Canis lupus familiaris: one gene and its partners. The protein of the gene in region 1 interacts with the protein of each later gene in a biochemical or structural test. Links are inferred from orthologs where the notes say so. Each region holds a gene or a part of one and is shown in the gene's direction. Other genes may lie near its edges. The genes, in order: PCNA, RFC1 and SPRTN.

Region 1 (3,600 bases):
GAGTCCCACGTCGGGCTCCCTGCATGGAGCCTGCTTCTCCCTCTGCCTGTGTCTCTGCCTCTCTCTGTCTCTGTGTGTCTCTCACGAATATCTTAAAAAAAAAAAAAAAAAAATTTACAAATGGGGACACCTGAGTGGCTCAGTGGTTGAACATCTGCCTTTGGCTCAGGGCCTGATCCCGGGGTCCTGGGATTGAGTCCTGCATCAGGCTCTGTGCAGGGAACCTGCTTCTCCCTCTACCTACGTCTCTGCCTCTCTGTATCTCTCATGAGTAAATAAAATATTTAAAATCTTATTTATTTGAGAGAGAAAACATATTGGGGAGGGGCAGAGGGAGAAGGAGAGGTAGAAGCAGACTCCTCCCGGAGCCAGGAGCCAACCTTGGATCTAGATCTCAGGACCCTGGGGTCATGACCTGAGCCAAAGGCAGAGGCTCCACTGACTGAACCACCCACGTGCCCCCTGTAACAAGTTTTTAATATGCAGATCAGAATTTTCACGCAAATAAGCTTAGATTTTTAAAACAAGATTGCTGATATCTGTATTTAGGAAAATATTGTAGATTGCAATCTTTCAGTGGTCAGCTTAGCAACATTTATCAACACATCACTTCTACGATAGCAAAAATAAAATGCACTTTTAAAACAGCTGTATTCCTCGGGCCGCCAGGCGTCTTCCTCCCGGTGGGCTGGATTTGCCTTTCACTTTCACGGCCAAAGCCTTTCTAGTCCTGAAGCGGGAGGTTGAGGAGGCAGCACAAGGCTGTAACTCAAAGAACCCCAACCTGGGTCTGGCCGTCACAAGCCCAGACTTGTTCAGCGCCCGGCGTCGCGAGCGGGGTGGAGAAGGCAGTCCCGCGGGAGGCGGAGGCGCCCCGCTCCTGCCCCGCCCCTGCCCCGCCCCTGCGGCCGACCCTTCAGTGGACGTTCAGGGAGGACGGGCTGGAGCGGAGGCCAAGGACACTATTGGCCCCGGAGTCCGTCCGCCAGGGAGTGGGCGGGGCAACGTGGTGACGCGCCACGCGCGGCGCAGAGGCGGAGCGCGCGCGCCAGCAGACGCGGCGCTATTAAACGGTTGCAGGCGGAGCGGGCGGGCGGTGATCGTCCCGGCTCCCCGGCCCTCGCCGCTGCGTTCGCCAGCTCGCTCGTACCCCGTGACGCCAAGCCGGCTACAACTTCCTCTTCGTCTCCGCCTGCAGCTGTGTCGTTGTGACTCTGCCACCATGTTCGAGGCGCGCCTGGTCCAGGGCTCCATCCTGAAGAAGGTGCTGGAGGCGCTTAAGGATCTCATCAACGAGGCCTGCTGGGACATCAGCTCGAGCGGCGTAAACCTGCAGAGCATGGACTCCTCCCACGTCTCCCTGGTGCAGCTCACTCTGCGCTCCGAGGGCTTCGACACGTACCGCTGCGACCGCAACTTGGCCATGGGTGTGAACCTCACCAGGTGAGCCCCTGGGGTCGCCAAGGGCCGGGCTCTCTCGCACCCCCACCTCCGGCTCTTGGCGGGAGCGCCTGCGAGCTAGGTCCTCATTGGCTGGCGTGGGCGACCCGCGCCTTCTCATTGGCCTGCGGCGCCCAGGGGCGGGATCTAGCGGAGCGCGCGGTTCCGAAAGCCCGCGCTGGCAGCCGCGCGAACCGGCGTTTTCCGCGCCAAAGTCACAAAGCGGGTGGTGGCGGGAAAATGACGGGCTTCTTCGTGGTGCCGGGAAAAGACTTACACAGCACCTTGGCCACTAAGTGCCGGCGGCCTTGGATGAGAACCCTTTGGCTTGACTGCCTTTAACCGCTTTATAATGTGCCCGAGTTACGTCACCCTACCTAGGGACCATCGGTTGATTCTGGTCCTTTATTATTAGGAAGTTGCAGTGAGCACCCTAAGTTCCTGGACTTAAAATTTCTCCAGGGCAGTGGCTTTCAACTCTTTGATCACTACATGTCTAGTACATGAACATGTTTAAAGATTTTATTTATTCGTGAGAGACGCAGGCAGAGGGAGAAGCAGGCTCCCTCAGGCTCCACATAGGGAGCTCTATGTGGGACTCCATCCCAGGACCCCGGGATCACGACGTGAGCCAAAGGCAGGCGCTCAACCACTGAGCCACCCCGCCTTCCAAAAACATGTTCAAATATGAGGCTTATGAGAAATAGTTGACCTCGACTGCATGCAGTGTGTATTAATAAGTATCTTAGCTCATTTTTCTTGACCGTCAGGACCCAATAATTTGCTTCGCGCACCAAAGGGATTTGCAATTTGCAATGCGTGAAATGCTGCTCTTTTATTTGTATCTAGAAGTGAAATTGCTCATGGTAGGCTGTGTGCCTGTTTAAGAATAAATACTGCCAAATTGGGTTACAAAATGGCCGGATTAGTTTACCTCACTCACCAATTCCTCAGACGACCTTGGTAAATAAAGATGGTAACTCCTTGTTTTAATTGGGTCAGAAATCTTAACGATTCTGAGAACGTTGTGGCAATTTTAAATCCTGTGTCTTCCGTGTTCTAGCATGTCCAAAATACTAAAATGTGCTGGCAATGAAGACATCATTACACTAAGGGCTGAAGATAATGCGGACACCTTGGCACTAGTATTTGAAGCTCCAAGTAGGTGATACTCTTCTACTAAATTATATTAGAGGAAATTTAAATGCAGTGTAAAAGATTTCTCTTAGTTGTGAAAAACTTAAGAAAATGTTCCTAATGATTGTAAAGCTTATTAATGGCATAGTTATAAACTTACATACTTTTCTTCAATCTGCTTTCTTTTGGTAGATCAAGAAAAAGTTTCAGACTATGAAATGAAGTTAATGGATTTAGATGTTGAACAACTTGGAATTCCAGTGAGTATTAAGAGTAGACTTTAAAGCAGTGTTAGGGGATCCCTGGGTGGCTCAGCGGTTTGGCACCTGCCTTCCGCCAGGGGCATAATCCTGGAGTCCCAGGATTGAGGCTCCCTGCATGGAGCTTGCTTCTCCCTCTTCTTGTGTCTCTGCCTCTCTCTCTGTCTCTGTGTCTTTCATGAATAAATAAATAAAATCTTAAAAATAAAAATAAAGCTGTGTTAGCAGAAATTCATTCAGGTGAGGTTTATCAACATAAGAAATGTTGAGATGTTTAAAATCCTTACTATCTTATCTTCTTGTTTTGTTTTGGTAAGCAGTTGGGCCTGCTTGCACACGCATCATCATTTGTAGGCCATACCCTAATGTCCTCTTGATTTAGCCCTGGAGGGGGATTTAGGGGGAGGCTCTTTTCTCCTGGATAGTGCATTTATCATTAAAGATTTAAACTTTAATTTTAGTTTTCTTAGTATGATTATTCTTATGACATATTGTTTTAAAAATTTTTTTTTAATTTTTATTTATTTATGATAGTCACAGAGAGAGAGAGAGAGAGAGAGAGAGAGAGGCAGAGACACAGGCAGAGGGAGAAGCAGGCTCCATGCACCGGGAGCCTGATGTGGGATTCGATCCCGGGTCTCCAGGATCGCGCCCTGGGCCAAAGGCAGGCGCCAAACTGCTGCGCCACCCAGGGATCCCCATACTTGTTTTATATCTGCATTTATTTTTTGAGTTAGAGATTATGTTATGGAAATACACAATG
Region 2 (3,725 bases), on another chromosome or scaffold:
ATTTCAGGGTGCTATGATGTCTATTGCATTTAAAGAGGGTTTGAAGATCCCGCCTCCGGCTATGAATGAAATAATTTTGGGTGCCAATCAAGATATCAGACAGGTAAATGGGATAGGTATTATTAACAGTTGCTGATTCTTTTGAATTAATGCCTTCGACTTTTCAGAGTTTCACCTTGACCATGTCTTATTTATGATTTCTGTTAGGTTTTACACAATCTGAGTATGTGGTGTGCACGCAGTAAGGCACTAACCTATGACCAGGCCAAGGCTGATTCTCATAGAGCCAAAAAGGATATCAGACTGGTAAAATAAATTTCCATTTACTTTCTCAAGCTAAAGCATTTCTTGTTCTGTTCATATTAACTTAATAGAAGTAGTTATTATAGTTCCTTGATAACGCCTATTGAACCTGTGGATATTTATAATAAGAAAGACAGCTGCTATAAAAGATTTTCTAGTTCAGATTAATTTTTCTTCAAGGACTGTTTGTTAGCATATATTATGTATAAATTATGAGATATAGAAGTTTTAAATTATATTCATGCTTCAGTAGTTATAAAATGGCCTTTTCAGAGTCCCTTATGTATAGATTTCATGTTTTGAAGTTTTGGAACTTTGAGAATAATCTATTTCAAATGGCTTATCATTTAATAACCTGTCTGAAACTTGAAACTAGAGGTCTAAGAGCAGTTTTAGTTTCATAGTGAGATTTAGCACACAGTACAAAGACTTCCCTTCTTATTCTCTGCCTCCAGACTCCTGCAACCTCTTCTTCTATCAGTACCCCCACCAGAGTGATACATTTGTTATAGTTGAACCTACATCATTATCACCCAAAGTCCATAGTTTACATCAGGGTTAGTTCACTCTTGATACAGCTTCCATGGGTTTTGACAAATGTATCAAGCTTTTATCTACCACTGTATATCACACAGAATACTTTCACTGCCTCCTGTTTATCCATCACTTCTTCCAACCCCTGACAATCACTAATCTTTTTAGATTTTATTTATTTATTTTAGAGAGAGAGCATGAGCCAGGGGGGAGAAGCAGAGAGAGAGGGATAAGCAGACTTTAGGTTTAGTGTGGAGCCCGACACAGGGCTTGATCTCATGACCCTGAGGTCATGAGCTGAGCCAAAATCAACTCAGCCGCCTAACTGACTGAGCCACCCAAGGCACCCCAATCACTAATCTTTTTATTGTCTCTAGTTGCATCAGTTTTCACAATGAGTCATGTAGTTGGAATCATACAGTATATAAACTTTTTAGGTTGGCTTCTTTCTTTTTTTCTTTCTTGAGAGAGTGAGCGAGTATGACTGGGGGAGGGGCAGGGGGTTAGGAGAGAAAGTCTTAAACAGGCTCTATGATGCAGGGCTTTATCTCACGACCCTGACATCATGATCTGAACCAAAATCAAGAGTTGGATGCTTAACCAACTACCACCCAGGGGCCCCCAGATTGGCTTCTTTGAATTAGTAATACTCATTTAAGGTTTCTCCATATATTTTCTATGGCCTTATTATAGCTCATTTCTTTTCTGTGCTGTATAATATTCCAGTGTCTGGATGTACCAGTTTATTCACCTTTTGAAAGACATTTGGATTGCTTCCAAGTTTTGTCAGTTACGAATAAAGCTGCTGTAAAGATCCATGTGCAGGGTTTTTGTGTAGTATGTTTTCAGTTTATTTGGATAAATACCAAGGAGGACAATTGTGGATGGAATGGTAAGAGTATAGTTTTGTAAAAAATACTGCCAATCTGTCTTCTAAATGACTATACCATTTTGCAATCCTGCTAGCAATAAATGAGAGTTCGTATTGCTCCACATCTTTGCCAGCATTTGATGTTGTCAGTATTTTGGACATTGGCCATTCTATTAGGTGTGTCCTTCCCTTTTTTTAGGGCCCGTTTGATGTTGCCCGGAAAGTGTTTGCAGCTGGAGAGGAGACCGCTCACATGTCACTTGTGGATAAGTCAGATCTCTTTTTTCATGATTATTCAATAGCACCCCTCTTCGTCCAGGAGAACTACTTACATGTGAAACCTGTAGCTGCAGGGTGAGTGTTCAGAGTTAGTGAGGGATAGAATTCATACCCTCCTGGCACAGCGAAGGCCATATACCTGGGAAAGAGGGGTATGAGATACGGACAGTGGTGTAATCCAGACTGGTTTATTTATGCAGGGGCGACATGAAAAAGCACTTGATGCTTTTAAGCAGAGCAGCAGATAGCATATGTGATGGTGACCTAGTGGACCGTCAGATCCGGAGTAAGCAAAACTGGAGTCTTCTGCCTACACAGGTAAGCACAGGGCTCTCCTTAAAATGCAGACTCTGCTTTAGTTAAAGAGAACAAAATAGCTTTTTAGTTCGTAGAGTTATTTGAAATACCAGATAAACATATGGCTCTTAGGGCAAAAATAAAGTCTTGTTCTAAATTAAATCACTCTGTGGTCACAATTGTGATTTCTTAATAAAAATTTTTTAAAAAGCCTTATTTTTCAGGGTTTCAAAATGTTTTATGTAAATTGACATAGGGAAATAGGAACATTAGATTCTTGACGTAAGTAAGATGTCAGTCAAAAGTTTTATTTGCTCTGCTTTACCTTAAGAGTCCATTTCTTTTTTGTCATTTTTTGGCTCTCCTAGTTGAAGTAATGCAACCAGGGCAGGTCAGCAGCTGATATGTGAGTAATAATAAGCAAGGGACTTTTGGGAGGCCTCCTCCTCTCTTAATTCTACTTATACATTGTTGGAAAACAAAAAATAAAGATGCATTCTGGATGTAAAGAATCCTTTCTATTATGTTTTACAAGAGTTCACTTTTTATTTTTTTATTTTTTATTATTTTTTAAAGATTTTATTTATTTATTCATGAGAGACAGAGAGAGAGAGAGAGAGAGAGAGAGAGAGGCAGAGACACAGGCAGAGGGAGAGAGAGAGAGAGAGAGAGAGAGAGAGGCAGAGACACAGGCAGAGGGAGAAGCAGGCTCCATGCAGGGAGCCTGATGTGGGACTCGATCCTGGGACTCCAGGATCACGCCCTGGGCAGAAGGCAGACGCTAAACTGCTGAGCCACCTGGGGATCCCCAAGTGTTCACTTTTTAAACTAAAAATTGTACCTTTAAGAATTTATCCTAAAGAAATAACTTTAAACATAGGAAAAGATTGCTGTACAAAAATACTATATTAGTTTTGATACTCTAAGACATTGGAGAAAATCTCCATGTCTAGCAATAGGAGAATGATTATGATAAATACTCTTGATGGACTATTACGCAGTCCTTAAAATTATTTATAAAGATTGTCTAATATAAAAAAAAAAGATTGTCTAATATGAAAAAATGCTTATGAGAGAATATTATTAGAATAAAGCAGGATACAAAATTTATGTGTAATTCCAACTTCAAGAAAGTATAAGCCCTGGATAAAGAAGATATTCAAGAATACCTTTTTAAAAATCTTTTCTTGGGGCACCTGGGTGGCTCAGAGGTTGAGCGTCTGCCTTTGGCTCTCAGGTTGTGATACCAGGGTCCTGGGATCGAGTCCTGCATTGGGCTCCCTATAGGGAGCCTGCTTCTCCTTCTGCCTATTTCTCTGCCCCCTCCTCATGAATAAATAAATCTTTAAAAAATAAATAAAAATCTTTTCTCTAGTGTCGGTTTACTTAATACTCTATTCAGTTTTCTATGCTTTGATCTACCTGTGCTGTTAATAGTTTA
Region 3 (3,825 bases), on another chromosome or scaffold:
ATGATGCCCCCATGAGGCTCATTACAAAGACAAGGGGGCAAAGACCTTTGAGAATGTGGAGTGGGTGTAGCAGAGACTGCATCAGGCAAAATGCTTGTGTAGGTGGGGTTGAGCATTTCTAGGAAATAGTCCAGAATCCTTTGGTATTGTTACTTACAGGGGAAAATTTCAGTTGAACAGTAGGAAGGAATAATTGTTATTTATTATGGCATTATATAAAATTTTGTCTTTATCCTGATTTTTGATCATTTTAAAATTTGGTTTATCCTGATTTTTGATCATTTTAAAATTTGGTTTCTAAAACTTTTAGCATTGACAGGCTTTTGTGGGCTAAAAAGTTTTTTGTTTTCTAATCTCACATCTTTCTATCTTTACACAGTTTTTGAAGTATTATTAACTGCTGCTGTCCCATTAAAATGAACTTTGGGAACAGAAGCTAAATCTGTTTGCTGCCTTCTCCAAAGTGTCATTGCAGAGAGCTCTCAGAAACTGGAAAGTTTAAACACAGGAAGGCTGCTTCTGTATTTTTTTAAAATTGTTAACTTTGCCTCTTTAACACTGAGCACTTTCTCTCAACCCAGGTGTACCATACTTTCCACGATGAGGTGGATGAGTACCGGCGACACTGGTGGCGCTGCAATGGGCCTTGTCAGTACAAGAAACCCTACTACGGTTATGTCAAACGTGCCACCAACAGGGCACCCTCTGTGCATGACTACTGGTGGGCTGAGCACCAGAAGACCTGTGGCGGCACCTACATCAAAATCAAGGAACCAGAGAATTACTCAAAAAAGGGCAAAGGAAAGACAAAAGTAGGAAAGCAGCCAACAGCAGCTGAAAATAAAGGTAACTTTGTCTGCTCTTCCATGCTTGCTGGGACCACAGCTAACAGTATAAAAGCCAGGGCTGTCCTCTGGAGAACTGGTGTTAAGATGAGCTTAAGGATTATTTCAAGTATAGACATTTGTAAGTGTGGATTTAAACAAATCCCATTGTTTGTGAAGTGATGGTAGAAAAATGTACTTTGCGTAGTGTGAGTTAAAGTAGAAATTGTGTTCACGGATAATATTGGAGTTAGGTAAAGGCCCTTTCCCTATCTTGACTCACTGAGTCATTGGGAAACAGAAGGCAAAATGATTGTCAAAATAAAAACAGTAATTCAAATAACAATGCCCGGAATTACTCCTAACCCACCCCTTCCTATCAGTTGGCTTCTAGCCGAGTGACTTCTGCTGTTGATGTATGTATTTTCATTGGGAGAAGAATGGGAAAAGGATATGACATGTATGTGCTGGTACTTCATCTTTGAGATTTATCCCTTTCCTATGAAGTTCAGAGTCCCTGCCTTTTGAAGAGGGAACCAGGTCACTAAAGTTAAGACTTCTTCCCTTGGGAAATTGTTGGTTGGATCCAGAAACATTAATAATAAGCTACTTTTCCTAAATTCAAAAATGGTGAGTGAGTAGAGGAGCTAGAGAAGAATTTATGTGGAGAGGTTATAGATCCCCATTCTGTGTGAGTAGGGGGAAAGAAAAGAATGTGGGAGGAGACTTTTCCCTCTGGAACTAAACTTGAAGAATGCTAAGTGATTTTCAAGGTACAAGTTCCTTTGCTAGTGGGCTTGGGATGCTAGATTTTTATTTTTTGTGTTCTCTCCCTCCCTGAGCCCCCTGACCACTGTAGATACGTCCTTCTCCCAAGCTCATTAGCTTAACACTTGTTACTGTATTAATTTCGAGTCAAGAGAACTTTTGCTTCTTTTGTAGATAAATCTAACAGAGGTGAGACCCAGCTGTTGATCCCTTTCAGTGGGAAAGGATATGTTCTAGGAGAAACGAGCAACTCGCCTTCATCGGGAAAGTTTGTTACTTCGTATGCTATTAATAAAACCCAAGATCTTTTAAGTCAAGACCATTCAGCAAAAGCTCTCAGACCCAATTCTAAAATTGAGGTGAAATTTGAACAGAATGGTTCAAGTAAAAAAACTCCTCTAGTGTCCCCTATTCTTACTGCCAGTCACCAAAATGTCTTAAGCAACTACTTTCCTAGGGTCTCAGTTGCCAACCAAAAGACCTTCCGAAGTGTGAATGGATCTCCAACAAAAAGCCTAACAACCGGTGACATCACTAAAAACTCCATCTCTTCTGGATCTCACAAAAGGGTCACCTCTTCTAAGATATCCCTGAGAAATTCTTTAAAAGCACCGGAATCAACATCTGTGACTGCACCCCAGGATGTGAGTGGGCCTGAGGAGAAACTCCCAAGTAAACGACCCAGGCTAGAAGACAAGACTGTTTTTGACAATTTTTTTATCAAGAAAGAGCAAGTACAAAGTGGTGGAAATGATCCAAAGTGGAGTTCACATCCTACAGCTGCAACTCAGGATTCCAGCAGTGCATCCAGCCAGAACAGGATGGTCGATTGTCCTGTTTGTCAGAATGAAGTGTTGGAGTCTCAGATTAATGAGCACTTGGACTGGTGCCTTGAAGGTGGTAGCATCAAAGTCAAAAGTTGAAGAAGTCTTTGAAAGACAAATGGGTGTCACATGCCACCTATATTACCCTGCTAACATAGTGTCAGCCACTCAGGAAGTTCTGGTGAACATGAAGATTTGTAGGTTTTAATGTAGTTCTATTTTATAGATATATACATGAGGTTGCAATGGAAAATATTCTATGTCGAAAGGTGCTATATTCACTTTTGCCTTGTGTATCCTGTAGCTCAGAGTTTGTTCTGCATGTGTACATGTATAGTTTTTAGATACTTATGTTCTTCCTTGCTCTTAAATTGCATTTAAATCTGTTAATCTTTTTATTTATATACCTTTCCTCAAAATACATTGGAATCCTGACAGGTATTTGGTTAAACTGAGTATTTCTTTGTTCATATTAAAACTCAGTCATAGAACTGAAGCTAAACATTGGCCAAAATTACAATTTCGAGGACAAAGTATATCAGTTGTTGTAGGGTACTCAAAGTTTTTTGTTTTTTGGTTTCTTTTTTTAATCTCAGCAGGAAATATATTTTATACATCTCCAAGAATTTTATTTCTGTCATCACTAAAAGGTGGCAGCTGGTTTTAGGTTAAAGCATAGAAGGAATATAGTCAAATAAACGTTTTAGACGACTACTCCTGCAATCCTGTAGGCCAGAGTTGAGTGGTTTTCTCAAGATGTAGCCAGATGAGTGGTTCACCTGCTAAGGAGCTGGTGTAAGTCACATCACAACAGCCTCTTTTATGTTAACAGTGGAACACTGTCTGGAAACAGTATTATGAACCTTAAGCCAAAGTTGTAACCGTTAAAATAAAAAGGAATACCATTTGTGCATTTTAAAAAGTAATTTCTTTTTAAAAACATTCTTACTGTGTTGTGGCAGAGACCAAGATCCTTTCGTCCGTTCACTTTCTCATGGCTGTACCACTAGCATGTTGGCCTGGTCCCAAGAGTTGAATTCACAGGTTTTCTTTCTCCTGAGCTATGTTGCGACATGACCTCCACCTACCCGAGGTGCCAGCTCCTCTGTGTGAACTTGGCCTTGGTGCTCCTGGGTGACGGCAGCCTCGGGTCAGGGAGGGAACAGTGCACCTCCTGCATTCGTGTCCGCACGCTTCCTAGTCTGCAGCCACAACCCCTGAGGGTAATCACTGTTTCTGTTACGTCTCTGCCACCCTGGGGTGCTTGAGTGTGGTTTTAACTTCATGAAGTACTACCCTGTTGCCACACTGTAGAAGTTCATTCTAGGTCGTTGCTTTGAGTGTACAAATACGCCAGGGTTTATTCAGCCATTCTAATATTAACGGGCATCTGAATTATTTCCAACCGG

The links.
Region 2: the proteins of PCNA (region 1) and RFC1 form a complex in vitro, tested with the Homo sapiens proteins (5 studies listed by BioGRID, with this or other methods). The link is inferred for Canis lupus familiaris from reciprocal best matches to the Homo sapiens genes PCNA and RFC1.
Region 3: the proteins of PCNA (region 1) and SPRTN form a complex in vitro, tested with the Homo sapiens proteins (4 studies listed by BioGRID). The link is inferred for Canis lupus familiaris from reciprocal best matches to the Homo sapiens genes PCNA and SPRTN.

Annotation. Positions count from the first base shown.
Region 1 is NC_049245.1:16,928,870-16,932,469, forward strand, and holds the start of PCNA (proliferating cell nuclear antigen), read left to right. Parts: upstream 1-1,026; 5' UTR 1,027-1,222; coding exon 1,223-1,443; intron 1,444-2,503; coding exon 2,504-2,601; intron 2,602-2,769; coding exon 2,770-2,837; intron 2,838-3,600. UniProt on the Homo sapiens protein: Auxiliary protein of DNA polymerase delta and epsilon, is involved in the control of eukaryotic DNA replication by increasing the polymerase's processibility during elongation of the leading strand.
Region 2 is NC_049224.1:73,697,368-73,701,092, forward strand, and holds part of RFC1 (replication factor C subunit 1), read left to right. Parts: intron 1-7; coding exon 8-103; intron 104-207; coding exon 208-306; intron 307-1,907; coding exon 1,908-2,062; intron 2,063-2,170; exon of another isoform or gene 2,171-2,187; coding exon 2,188-2,305; exon of another isoform or gene 2,306-2,337; intron 2,338-3,725. UniProt on the Homo sapiens protein: Subunit of the replication factor C (RFC) complex which acts during elongation of primed DNA templates by DNA polymerases delta and epsilon, and is necessary for ATP-dependent loading of proliferating cell nuclear antigen (PCNA) onto primed DNA.
Region 3 is NC_049225.1:8,498,885-8,502,709, reverse strand, and holds the end of SPRTN (DNA-dependent metalloprotease SPRTN), read left to right. Parts: intron 1-581; coding exon 582-846; intron 847-1,766; coding exon 1,767-2,515; 3' UTR 2,516-3,338; downstream 3,339-3,825. UniProt on the Homo sapiens protein: DNA-dependent metalloendopeptidase that mediates the proteolytic cleavage of covalent DNA-protein cross-links (DPCs) during DNA synthesis, thereby playing a key role in maintaining genomic integrity.